Macaca fascicularis: one gene and its partners. The protein of the gene in region 1 binds, or shares a complex with, the protein of each later gene. Links are inferred from orthologs where the notes say so. Each region holds a gene or a part of one and is shown in the gene's direction. Other genes may lie near its edges.

Region 1 (4,300 bases):
ACGGGGGCTGCAGGAGGAGCTGCCCGCCAGTCCGGAGCCGCGCCTGCACTCCTCAGTCCTTGGGCGGTCGATGGGACCGGGCCTCACTGAGCAGGGGGCGGCTTCCGTCGGGGAGGCTCAGGCCACGCAGGAGCCCACCGCAGGGGGTGGAGCTCAGACATGGCGGGCTGTAGGTCCCTAGCCCTGGCCCGCGGGGAGACAGCTAAGGCCCAACGAGAATTTGAGTGCGGCGCGGGCGTGCCGGCACTGCTGGGGGACCCAGCGCAACTTCCGCAGCTGCTGGCCCGGGTGCTAAGCCCCTCACTGCCCTGGGCCGGCGGCGCCAGCTGGCCGCTCCGTGTGCGGGGCCCGCCGATCCCCAGCCCGCGCCCGCTGGAACTTACACTGGCCCGCGAGCCCCGGGCGCAGCCCCGGTTCCCACCCGCACCTCTCCCTCCACACCTCCCTGCAAGCAAAGGGAGGCGGCTCCGGCCTCAGCCAGCCCAGAGAGGGGCTCCCACGGTGCCATGGCGGGCTGAAGGGCTCCTCAGGCGCCGCCAGAGTGGACGCTGAGGCCGAGGAGGCGCTGAGAGTGAGGGCTGCTAGCACACTGTCACCTCTCACAACCATTCAGAGGCTGGAGTGAAGTTACAAAGTTGCAAATGAAGACTGGAAGGCGCTCAGTGTGGTTTCTTGTGGACGGTCAATTTCCCATCTGCCATGCATGAAAGGTCCAAGGGAATAACCTCTGGTTCTTTTGTTACTTAGGCGTGGAAAGTTGGGGTTTTCCTTTCAATTTAGTTCTAGGAAGTCACGTGAAACAGCCATAGGTTCCCTACCTCCAGACCCTATTCTCCTGCCTCATTACTGCAGTCTTCTCTGCCCGCGTCTTTTAGCGACTAACATAAGATGAGGATCCATCTTCTAATATCCCTCACCAGTCCTTCCCCTCCGTCATTTAGCGAACCGCTCACTGGGCACTGGGACTTTGGGGAGAGTCCCAGGAGGCCCCTCTTCGTCCAGGGGCTATTTTTTTTCTCTTCCAGCCTCCATCTCCTAACTCAAGGGGTACAGCTCAGTCAGATTATGTTTGGCGCCCCGGGACAGTGACAAACCCAGGGCCCGTGGATAGAGGAGGCATCTCACTACACTGCACGAGGCCACCTCGCAGTAGGCAGCCCAGGCCTGCCCAAAAACCCAGGAGCCTAACCAGGAAGACAGGGGGAGGCCGCGGGCTTCATCTCCCAGGAGATGGACTACATCTCCCAGCAGGCTCTGCGCGCAGGCTGATGATCCCTCCGCTCTTTTTTTTGTCCCGCCGGCTCGGCCCCCCGCGACCAGCCAAGGGCTAAGGCCAGGTATTTCAGAATCTGAGGTCCGTATTCTTATCACATTTCCGGGGAGGGACGGCTAGGAGCTCCGGAGGAAAAACGGACTTTTTTTTGAGGAGAAAAGCGGAGGCAGACGGTGCATGACGAAGCACCCCCGCAACTGCAAGTTTTCGCGCGCTTTGGCGCAGGTGGTTGTGGGTAGCGCGCCTGGGAGGGAGAAAGAAGTCGGGGGCCGTGGCGCGCTGCCCGCGGGGCCTGAAGGGATGTTCGAGGACGAGTCCCACGCTGAGGGGGTGGCGGTGGTCGCCGCAGCCGGGGAGGCGCTACAGGCCCTGTGCCAGGAGCTGAACCTGGACGAGGGGAGCGCGGCCGAAGCCCTGGACGACTTTACTGCCATCCGAGGCAACTACAGCCTAGAGGTGAGCGGCAGCAGGTAGGGCGGCCGGACCCTACCCTCGCCAGGCCCCACCCCTGCCCCGCCCCTTCCCCGGCCTATGGGGTGGTGGGAGTTTCCCCATCTAGGAGGGTCGCTGCGCAGCCAGGCGCCGAGGGGCGGGAAGGGTGGGTGTTGCTCAACCAATCCGCCCATCATTTTGAGGCGGGAAACTGAAGCCCAGGAAAGGAGCGGCCTAGGCCCTGCGCCACTCAAACCCCGGTCTTCCTGACCACACTTTACCCCGCTAAGCGCCACAAACGTCATGGTGGTGCCCTTAAATCAGTAAGAACAAATATAATGGTAAAGTGAAAATGAACTGCCTACCAAGACACCACTGGCCAGAGCTTTAAATGGACCCTCTCAGTTCCGTCTGAACCCCTTCTGTGATCCCCGTTCCACGCAAGAGGAAGCGGAACCCCAGACAGGTTAAGCTACAGGCCCAAGGTCACGCGGTTAGAGATGGAGCCAGACCCAGGGTCTGAGCCGTTTAACCTCCACCCTCTGCTTCATCAGGGTGGAGCTGCTGGTTGCTGTGCAGCGGTTTGATCAAAGCCAGTGTGCATACGAAGCTGATCTCAGCCCTGCGTTTCCTCCTCTGTCAGAGCATCGTCCTAGATGCTTTGCATCAGCGTCTAGCTCTGAATAAAACAAATGTCAGTTATAATTACTCTATTTTTTTCCCCATCATTCTTGCATTTTATCTTCACAACAGCCCTGTGAACATGGCATGGCAATGAGTATTAGACCTGCTTTCCAGGTGATAATGGCAAGGCTCAGAAGGTTGTCTTGCCCAGGGTTATTCTAATACAGAAACCCAGGCTGGGCGTGGTGGCTCACGCCTGTAATCCCAGCACTTTGGGAGGCCAAGGCGGGCGGATCATTTGAGGCCAGGAGTTTGAGACCAACCTGGGCAACATGGCGAAACCCCGTCTCTACTAAAAACTACAAAAATTAGCTGGGTGTGTTGGCGCCTGCCTGTAATCCCAGCTACTTGGAAGGCTGAGGCAGGAGAATTGCTTGAACCCAGGAGGCATAAGCTGCAGTGAGCAGAGATCACACCACTGCACTCCAGCCTGGGCAACAGAGCAAGACTCTATCTAAAGAGAGCAAGATGAGCATAAGCCTGATGGAGTGTATTTCATGTAGCACTCCACTGGCCCCATGTTCAAAGGCTTTCATGTGCCAAGGGCGCTGGACCAACTCCCAGGGTGCACCACTGACTCACCACCCAGTGAAATAATTGCTGGGTTCAAAGGCATAGAGTTGGATGTATATTGACTGTGTGCCTATATATGAAGGAAAAGTACCTGAAAAAGTCTTCCAGACTGGATAGACTGGGTAAAGGACAATGGTCCACATCCGTGGGTGGCATGACTGGAAAGCTGTGAGAAGAATAAGAAAGTAAGGGAGATTAGCCAGAGACGGTGGCTCATGCTTGTAATCCCAGCTCTTTGGGAGGCCAAGGCGGGCAGATCACGAGGTCAGGAGATTGAGACCATCCTGGCTAACACAGTGAAACCCCATCTCTACTGAAAATACAAAGAATTAGCCGGGCATGGTGGCGGGCACCTGTAGTCCCAGCTACTCAGGAGGCTGAGACAGGAGAATGGCCTGAACCCGGGAGGCGGGGCTTGCAGTGAGTCGAGATGGCACGACTGCACTCCAGCCTGGGCCACAGAGTGAGACTCTGTCTCAAAAAAAAAAAAAAAAAGAAAAAAAAAAAGATTAGAATGAATGGCCTCTCAGTTGAAAACAGATTGATTTTTGAAAGCCTGAAAAAGCATTTCTGACATCCTAGTCTCATTTGGTCTCTCTTGCCCAAGGTCACACCATCTGTCATTGAATAAGTATTTACTGTGTCAAAACGGTCAAGGCGTGCACCTGTTTCAGATTCTTGAATATGACAAGCTTGTTCCCAGTTTTGTGGTATATCCGTGCCGTTCCCTCTGCCTGGAATCTTTCCCATCACCCCCAACACCAGGAAAGGTTGAGAGCTAAATCTCTAATTAGGCAGAGTTGAATAGGACAACTTCAATGTTTGCTTTATTTATTTATTTATTGTTTTTTTTTTTTCTTTCTTTCTTTTTTTCTTCCTTAGAAACAGGGTCTTGGCTGGGCACACGGTGGCTCACGTCTGTAATCGCAGCACTTTGGGAGGCCGAAGTGGGCAGATCTTCTTAGGTCCAAGACCAGCCTGGCCAGCATGGTGAAACCCCGTCTCTACTAAAAATGTAAAATTAGCCGGGCATGGTGACATGTGCCTGTAATTCCAGCTACTGGGGAGGCTGAGGCAGGAGAATCACTTGAACCTGGGAGGTAGAGGTTGCAGTGAGACGAGATTGCGCCATTGCACTCCACCCGGCACAACAAGAGTAAAACTCCGTCACAAAAAAAAAAAAAAAAAAGAAAGAAAAGAAAAGAAACAGAGTCTTGCTCTTTTGACCAGGCCTGGAATGCAGTGGTGCAATTGTAGCTCACTGTAAACTCAAACTCCTAGGCTCAAGTGATCTTCCTGCTTCAGCCTCCCCAGTAGCTGGGACTACAGGCATATGCC
Region 2 (3,500 bases), on another chromosome or scaffold:
GCAGAAGTCAAAACGGGGACGACCTCCTTTAAAATCAACCCTTTCATCAAACATGCCGTATGGCTTATCTAAGACAGCAAACAGTGAAGGAAAATCAGGTACCAGAAGTGCTCGCAGCAATATACCAGACAGCTCACCTCTGTCAAATGGAATGGAAGGTGCTCGATTTTGAGGATGGCTGACTTTAAAAAAAATAATAACATAAATAATAAAACTTCCATTGTGTGAAATATTCACAGTACAGGTTGAGTATCCCTTGCCCAAAATGCTTGGGACTAGAAGTGTTTTGGATTTTTGGATTTTTTTTTTTTATTATTTTTGAATATTGCATATACATAATGAGCTATCCTGGGGATAGGACCCAAGTCTAAACATGAAAATTAGTGCTTCATACACACCTTATACACATAGCCTGAAAGTAATTTTATACCATATTTTTAATAGTTTTGTTCATGAAATATTGTGTACTTTGAACCATCAGAAATCAAAGGTATAACTGTCTCAGCCACTCATGTGAACAGTCTGTGATTGTTTGGCATCACTGTTATTCTTGACTCTGAATTTATATGCCACCTACTGATAAGTAATTTTCTTACACATAATTACATAACAGTAAAATATATGACTTACAATTAATACAGTGGAAAAATAGTGTGTGTGAGGAAACTAAGCAGCGAGGTAGCATCATCAGAATATCTGTATTGGCTGCTAAACAACACTGACAACAAACAGCAGGCTTTCAATCTCCACCTACGATGCTGTGTTTTCATTAAAAGGTTACCTGTACACTAGCCTGGGGCTGCCGAAGACAGTTGTGCACCTGTGTTTGGATGCAATCTGTCCCATGAGGTCAGGTGTGGAATTTTCTACTTGGGGCATCATGTTGGTGCCCAAAAAGTTTGGAATTTGGAGCATTTTGGATTTCAGGTTTTTGGACTAGGGGTGTTCAACCTGTAAATCACCTAGGTTTTTAATCTCATATGATTGAAACTATAAAATTTGATTTGAAGAAAATATTTTGCTGTATCATTTTTATTTGAAATTTAGTGATGTTTTCATTTAGGAATACTTTTTCTCATAAATATCTTAAAAATAATATATTTTAATAGAAGGTGAATTGACAATCCATGCATCCTAATGTGTTCTACACTTTCCCTGAAAGCCTGTACCAGTGTCTCCTATAAATTCAGTGCTGTTCACCTGGGATCTTTCAGCAAAGCTGAAACCATGTGGTTCTAAGAGAACACAGACTATTGTGGTACAGGCATGTTTTATAATGAGTATAGGTGAACATATTTTATTCTGCTTGTACTCATTTTCCCCACTTTTCTACCTCTGTATACTTTTAAATGTAATTAAGAAATTATAGGCTGAGCGCAGTGGTTCATGCCTGTAATCCAGCACCTTGGGAGGCTGAGGCAGAAGGATCACTTGAGCCCAGGAGTTCCAGACCAGCCATGACAATATAGTGAGACTCCATCTTTACGAAAAAAATTTAAAAATTTAGCCCGGCGTGGTGGTGTGCACCTGTGGTCCCAGCTACTCAGAAGGCTGAGGTGGGAGGATTGCTTGACTCTGGGAGGTCAAGGCTACAGCAAGTGTAATCATAGCATTGCACTCCACCCTGGGTAGCAGAGCAAGACCCTACCTCACTCTGTCACCCAGGCTGGAGTGTAGTGGCGCAATCTCAGCTCCCTGCAACCTCCACCTCCTGGGTTCAAGCAGTTTTCCCGCCTCAGCCTCCCAAGTAGCTGGGACCACAGGTGTGCACCACCATACCTGGCTGATTTTTGTATTTTTAGTAGCAACAGGGTTTTACTATGTTAACCAGGCTGGTCTCGCACTCTTGACTTCAAGTGATCTACCCGCCTCAGCCTCCTAAAGTGCTGGAATTACAGGCATGAGCCACTGTGCCCAGACCCGAAAAAAGAAATTTTAAATGGTTGTCTTACATAAAAATTTCTCTTCTTTCAAGAAAAAAGCTATACTGAACTACATGTTTGCTATTAGTACCTGTGGTGCTTGTGTGCAAATTATAAAAGGACATCCTTCCTCTTTACTGCCATCTGCTGACAAACGAAAGATGTCCACAAAGTGAAAGGTACCTAGACGGCATAACTGTGTTTAGTGTCCAGTCTACAAAACTACGTACCAGCCTTATTAAACTACCACTGAAAGGGATTTTTTAAAACATGAAAATGAATTCTACATTCTGTTTATGATAAAACCACAAAATAAAATTGTATACACCTTTTCACTTAAAAATTCATTTTTGCAGTTTTGAACTTCTTGAGGATATGAGCACCATGTGGACAAGATTTTTATATTTTTTAGATCCTATACAGTCTTAGAACCCTACTTTATTATTTTACAAGTTCCCTTACTTACAGGGAATAATTTTTGTTTCCTGTACTTTCTTGTTTGTTAAGAATATTTAAAGTTTTGAGTCCAGTTGCCCATTTTAAAAACTTTTCTTGCTGGGCGCCATGGCTCATGCCTGTAATCCCAGCACTTTGGGAGGCTGACACAGGCGGATCACTTGAGGTCAGGAGTTTGAGACCAGCCTGGCCAACATGACAAAACCCCGTCTCTACTAAAAATACAAAAATTAGCCGGGCGTGGTGGCCCGTGCCTATCCCAGCTCCTCAGGAGACTGAGGCAGGAGAATGGCTTGAACCTGGGAGGCAGAGCTTGCAGTGAGCCAAGATCACGCCACTGCACTCCAGCCTGGGCGACCGAGTGAGACTGTGTCTTAAAAAGAAAAAAGAAAGAAAAGGAAAGGAAAGAAAACAAACTTTTCTTTCCACAATTATTTTAAGTAGAATGTCATATTCCTTTCTTAGGATACAAAATGCCCATCACATGTCCCTCCTAGATACTATCTCAAACCACTTAACAAATTAACTTCATGTCTAGGATGTCTAGGTACTGATCCTTTGATGTTTTTTTAAGGACTCTAGTACCTAAATATGATACTGGGGAATATTGCAAAATAGCTTTTCATGTAGATTTGAGTTAGTAATACGCAATATAATATATTTTTACTTGGCGCTTAGTGTAGTTTCCCCTCCCCCTCAAATTCTTGGCACAAATGTTATGATTTGTTTTATATCAGAACTTTCTACAGGGAGGTATTCAGAGGTACATGATTAATATTTTTATTGTTATTTTTGGTAAGATTTTTATTATAAAATTACATTGGTAATATAAAAACCTGCATAATATAATAATATTTCCTCTTACAGACTCTTGTTCATCTGATAGTGAAACAGAAGATGCTTTAGAAAAGAATCTAATAAATGAAGAACTTTCTCTTAAAGATGAACTAGAAAAAAATGAAAATTTGAATGATGATAAGCTAGATGAAGAAAATCCAAAGATTTCTGCACACATATTAAAAGAAAATGATAGGACTCAGCTGCAGCCTTTAGAAACCCTGAAGTTAGAAGTTGGAGAGAATGAACAAATAGTACAGATTTTTGGAAACAAAATGGAACAAG
Region 3 (4,277 bases), on another chromosome or scaffold:
TTTTTAAATTGAGACGGTGTCTCACTGTGTCCCCCAGGCTGGAGTGTGCAGTGGCGCAATCTTGGCTCACTGCAACGTCCGCCTCCCGAGCTCAAGAAATTTTCCTGTCTTAGCCTCCCGAGTAGCTGGGATTACAGGCACCCACCACCACACGCAGCTAGCTAATTCTTGTACTTTTAGTGGAGACGGGGTTTCACCATGTTGGCCAGGCTGGTTTCGAACTCCTGACCTCAAATGATCCGCCTGCCTCGGCCTCCCAAAGTGCTGGGATTACAGGCTTGAACCACCATGCCCGCCTGAATGGGCCCTTTTTAATAGGGAACCTCTGACTGTGGGAAGAGACATTGCTGGTGGCAGTTTTCTCCCCCAGATCCACATCCACTGGTGTCTCAATTGCCCTGGTAGCCTGTCTTGAAGTACGGCCACAGCAGACATGTTGACCACGAGTCTCTTTCTGTAGGTCTTATGTTCCTGTCTGTCTCCTGTAGTGACAAATTTTAGGTTACTTCCTCGGGGGTGACTGGCAATGCCTAATTCTCCTTGGGTCTGGAAACCAGGCTTGGGTCCTCCTGGGTCTGGGTTCCAGCACAGCCAGGTTTAACAACCTCTTCTTGACCTTGTGTGACTGGGTTTGGGGGCTATCATTGCAGTGAGTGGCGGCCCTGGAACTGATAGCAAGGACAGTGGTGAGCTCAGTTCACTCCCACTGGGCCCAACAGCACTGGACACCCGGCCACTGCAGTCTTCTGCCCTGCTGGACAGCAGCAGCAGCAGCAGCAGCAGTAGCAGCAGCAGCAGCAGCAGCAGTAACAGCAGCAGTTTATCTGGACCCAACCCTTCTACCTCCTTTGAGCCCATCAAGGCAGACCCCACAGGTGGTGAGTACCTGCCCCCTAGGGGCAGAGAGAGAGAGTCTAGCCTCAGTCCAGTCCTAGGTCAGAAACAATGGGGATGGAACCCAGCTCTCCCGTCAACCCTGTCGGACACGAGAGCTCTCTGCCAGCACCTCTGGGTCAGTGCTGGAGCCCCCTCTAGTACCCCATCCTAGGCTAACACAGAACTCCCTGCCCTCTCTCAAGCCCTTTCCTGCCACCTATTGGAGTACCGCCTCACTAATTGACACTTCTCTGTATCACTCTTTCTCATCTTCTCTGTCTCCTTTCTGTCTGGACTCCTTGAAAAAGTAATCTCCACTCATTGGTCTCCTAGTCACCTTTCAAGTTGCAGCAGTCACTCCCCCAGCCCCAGTGTTACAGCAGTGTCACTCTTGAGAAGCTACCAAAGGCCTGCCGAGCCCAGCAGCCTCCAGCCTGTTTTGCTGGTGCTCTCTTGGTCTGTGTCAATATTCTTTCTTCCTTTGGCATAATTATGCCAGCTCTTGGCTCTCTTGTCTCACTGGCTTCTTGAACTCTCCCTGGCATGTCCTTAAACATTGCTGTTTTTGAGGGCTATGTCCCATTCCACTCCTGGAGAGGGCTGTAGCTCTGGGTGAACGAATCCCCAGCCTCCGCCTGGCCTAGATCTTTTCCCGATATGCACTTTGGTGTCCACCTGCCGTCCTCTGTACATCCAATGGACACTTTATTCCTGCATGTCCTCGACTGAAGTTAGTTTCTCCCTGAAGCTTGCTTTCCACCTCTGCACACCCTACCGTCGGCCCTATTTATCCAGGCCTGATCCTTGGCTCTCACTCTTAGTTCCAGCTCCTTCTCCCTCCTCCTTCTGCTGCCCACCCCATGCCAGCTAAGCGAGGTCTGTCCCAGATGTCCTCTCCTATCCCCTGGTATCCTCAGCACTCAGGATGACCCCTGGCCACCTCTGTCCTGGATTCTTCAGCATCTTTCTCTTTACCCTGACTGACAGACTAATCTTTCTGAAATGCAGGCCTGACAGAAAAATGTGGCATTTCTCTGTTTGCAAAAGTACCTTTAATGACTCCCTGAGGGCCACCAGATAAGATCTGAACTCCTGAGCCTGGCATGTGAAATCCCTCATGGTCCTCTCTGGTTGCATTTTCTTCTGCTTCCCCTGTGTCCTCCTGGCCAGAGGTTTGTAGTGGAGTCATCACCCTGTAGCGCCACCACCTCTGCCTGGTGACCTGACCCAGGGTCTGGTCTCTGAGTCTTGCACAGAGCAGATGCTCAGCAAGGGTGGGACAGATGGGGTACCTTCCATCAGACAGGGGGTGCATGCTGAGCCCAGAAAGACGCTTCTGTGACCTTTCTGAGTTAGAAAAGCTGTACCAATCACTTGCAGTGGGCCTTTGGTGCCCTGGGCTCAGCACTGAGGAATTCAGGTTTAGCAAGTGAGGCCAACAGACAGTGCCAGCTTGGCCTAGGCAGGGCCTACTACATCTCCTCAGCTGTGTGGAGCCTCAGGGTGGGTGGTATAGGATCCGAGGAAGCCACGGGGCTGTAGTGGTGCCAGGTTGGACCTCTTGTGTCCTGAGCATGGCTTTCTTGTTTTTCAGTTTTGGAACTCCCCAAAGAGCTGTCAGAAATCTTTGATCCCACACGAGGTAGGCTGCTGCATTCCTCCCTGGGGGTAGGGGTAAGGGACACAGCCCATTGGGTCCTACGGCTGTTTTCTTGCCCTTTTGAGGACCTTGTGGTGGCGCTTATGGTAACTGGGGCAAAGGGTGAAGTTCCTGATGGGCAGGTGGGGTTCCCTTTCCTGGGCTTTGGTAGCTGGAGAGTTGGGAGCTGGAATGTTAGTAACTGAGCTCCCTCCATTCCCAGAGTGCATGAGCTCGGAGCTGCTGGAGGAGTTGATGTCCTCAGAAGGTGGGTGGCCCTGGAAGGTGGGAGTGGTTGTGGGCAGGGGTTGGGCTGCTGCTAGGGGAGCCCTGGCCCAGGGCCTGAGACTAGTGCTCTCTGCAGTGTTTGCCCCGCTGCTCCGTCTTTCTCCACCCCCCGGAGACCACGATTATATCTACAACCTGGACGAGAGTGAAGGTGTCTGTGACCTCTTTGATGTGCCTGTTCTCAACCTCTGACTGACAGGGACATGCCCTGTGTGGCTGGGACCCAGACTGTCTGACCTGGGGGTTGCCTGGGGACCTCCCCCATCCGACCCCTACACAGCTTGAGAGCCACAGACGCCTGGCTTCTCCAGCCTCCCCTCACCACACAGTTCTGGCCACAGCTCCGGCTCCTGTGCTGGCACTTCTGTGCTTGCAGAGCAGGGGAACGGAATCAGCCCCCATCACCGTGGAGCCAAAGTGTTTGCTTCTCCCTTTCTGCGGCCTTCCCCAGCCCAGGCTCGGCTGCCACCCAGTGGCACAGAACCGAGGAGCTGCCATCGCCCCCCCATAGGGCAGCTTGTCCAGCCTCACTGTCTTGCTCCTGCCAGCTACTTCCCCTAGGAGTGAAGGGTGGCATGGAACTGGGCACGTGCCAGCACCGCCCCTAGCTTCCTTCGCTGTCCCCCACCCCCTGACCCTCCAGCTCCTCCTGGCCCTCTCACGTGCCCCCTTCTGCTGGGCCTTTAGCCCTAGAAGCTGCAGGTGGTGGGGGTGGCTACCAAGAAGGAACAGAGGTCTCAGGAGGAGTCTGGGTGGTCCAGCCCTGAGGATTGACCCCACCTCCTGCTGCCCCATATCCTATCTTCATTTCTGCTTATTCATTTACCCTCATTTAGAGCCATTTGCAGAGATTTAGAAAGATTTACAGTAACGAATGGATTCCTATATAAAGATTATTTTTATACTTTTTGCAGCAAAAGGAAATTGTAATATTTGTACAGTGTCCAAGTGAATAAAAACCGTGCCTAAGGCTAGCTCTGATGTGGTTCTTTCGGGACCCTCCTTGGGACTGTGCTGGATTGGCAGTGTGACTGGGTGGGTCACCTTGCTGGAACCGGGGGTGTGGGGCGGCCTCCGGCAGCCTGCCCTCCCCGCCCCCACCTGCTGCACGTAGGTGTGGGGCGGGGACGCCTCGGCGGGGCGGGGCAGGCGGGGCGGGGCAGGCAGAGCCGTCCTACCTTCCTATCCCCGGACTCCAACCCGGAACTAACCTCGGCTCTCATGGGAAGGCCGCACTGCATGGCCAGGTCAGTCTGGGCCGCGAGTGCGGGACACCAAGGTCAGGTCTCGGAAAGAGGGAGGACCTCCTCGTCCCCAGGGGCCCCAAGCCAGGTGTACCCTTGGCCGGAGGTGCACGGTCTCCGAAAAGTGCAGGTGCCCACGCCCCGGCTGGACCATGACGCCTCCGCGGAACGTGGTGAAGATTGCCATCCAGATGCGTGACGCCATCCCGCAGCTCATCCAGCTGGACCAG

What was found. Proteins that work in one complex are often made in the same cells at the same time.
Region 2: the proteins of RBL1 (region 1) and ARID4A are in contact, whole or in part, in a crystal structure (PDB 7SMC), measured with the Homo sapiens proteins. The link is inferred for Macaca fascicularis from reciprocal best matches to the Homo sapiens genes RBL1 and ARID4A. Residues at the interface, in NP_002886.2 of Homo sapiens: Tyr849, Ile850, Lys853, Val854, Thr860, Phe861, Gln862, Met865, Lys866, Arg869, Tyr879, Arg880, Asp929, Leu930, Ile931, Tyr934, Asn935, Val939, Ala946, Leu947; in NP_002883.3 of Homo sapiens: Leu957, Val958, Cys959, His960, Glu961, Val962, Asp963, Leu964, Asp965, Asp966, Leu967.
Region 3: RBL1 (region 1) and E2F4 share a complex: the UniProt entries of both Homo sapiens proteins name them as parts of the DREAM complex. The link is inferred for Macaca fascicularis from reciprocal best matches to the Homo sapiens genes RBL1 and E2F4.

Annotation. Positions count from the first base shown.
Region 1 is NC_088384.1:93,203,980-93,208,279, reverse strand, and holds the start of RBL1 (retinoblastoma-like protein 1), read left to right. Parts: upstream 1-1,500; 5' UTR 1,501-1,573; coding exon 1,574-1,729; exon of another isoform or gene 1,730-2,384; intron 2,385-3,053; exon of another isoform or gene 3,054-3,128; intron 3,129-4,300. UniProt on the Homo sapiens protein: Key regulator of entry into cell division. Directly involved in heterochromatin formation by maintaining overall chromatin structure and, in particular, that of constitutive heterochromatin by stabilizing histone methylation.
Region 2 is NC_088381.1:126,210,003-126,213,502, forward strand, and holds part of ARID4A (AT-rich interactive domain-containing protein 4A), read left to right. Parts: coding exon 1-158; intron 159-3,245; coding exon 3,246-3,500.
Region 3 is NC_088394.1:63,216,797-63,221,073, forward strand, and holds the end of E2F4 (transcription factor E2F4), read left to right. Parts: intron 1-650; coding exon 651-878; intron 879-2,470; coding exon 2,471-2,518; intron 2,519-2,738; coding exon 2,739-2,783; intron 2,784-2,879; coding exon 2,880-2,995; 3' UTR 2,996-3,777; downstream 3,778-4,277. Other genes in the region: ELMO3 (engulfment and cell motility protein 3), read left to right, coding at 4,200-4,277. UniProt on the Homo sapiens protein: Transcription activator that binds DNA cooperatively with DP proteins through the E2 recognition site, 5'-TTTC[CG]CGC-3' found in the promoter region of a number of genes whose products are involved in cell cycle regulation or in DNA replication.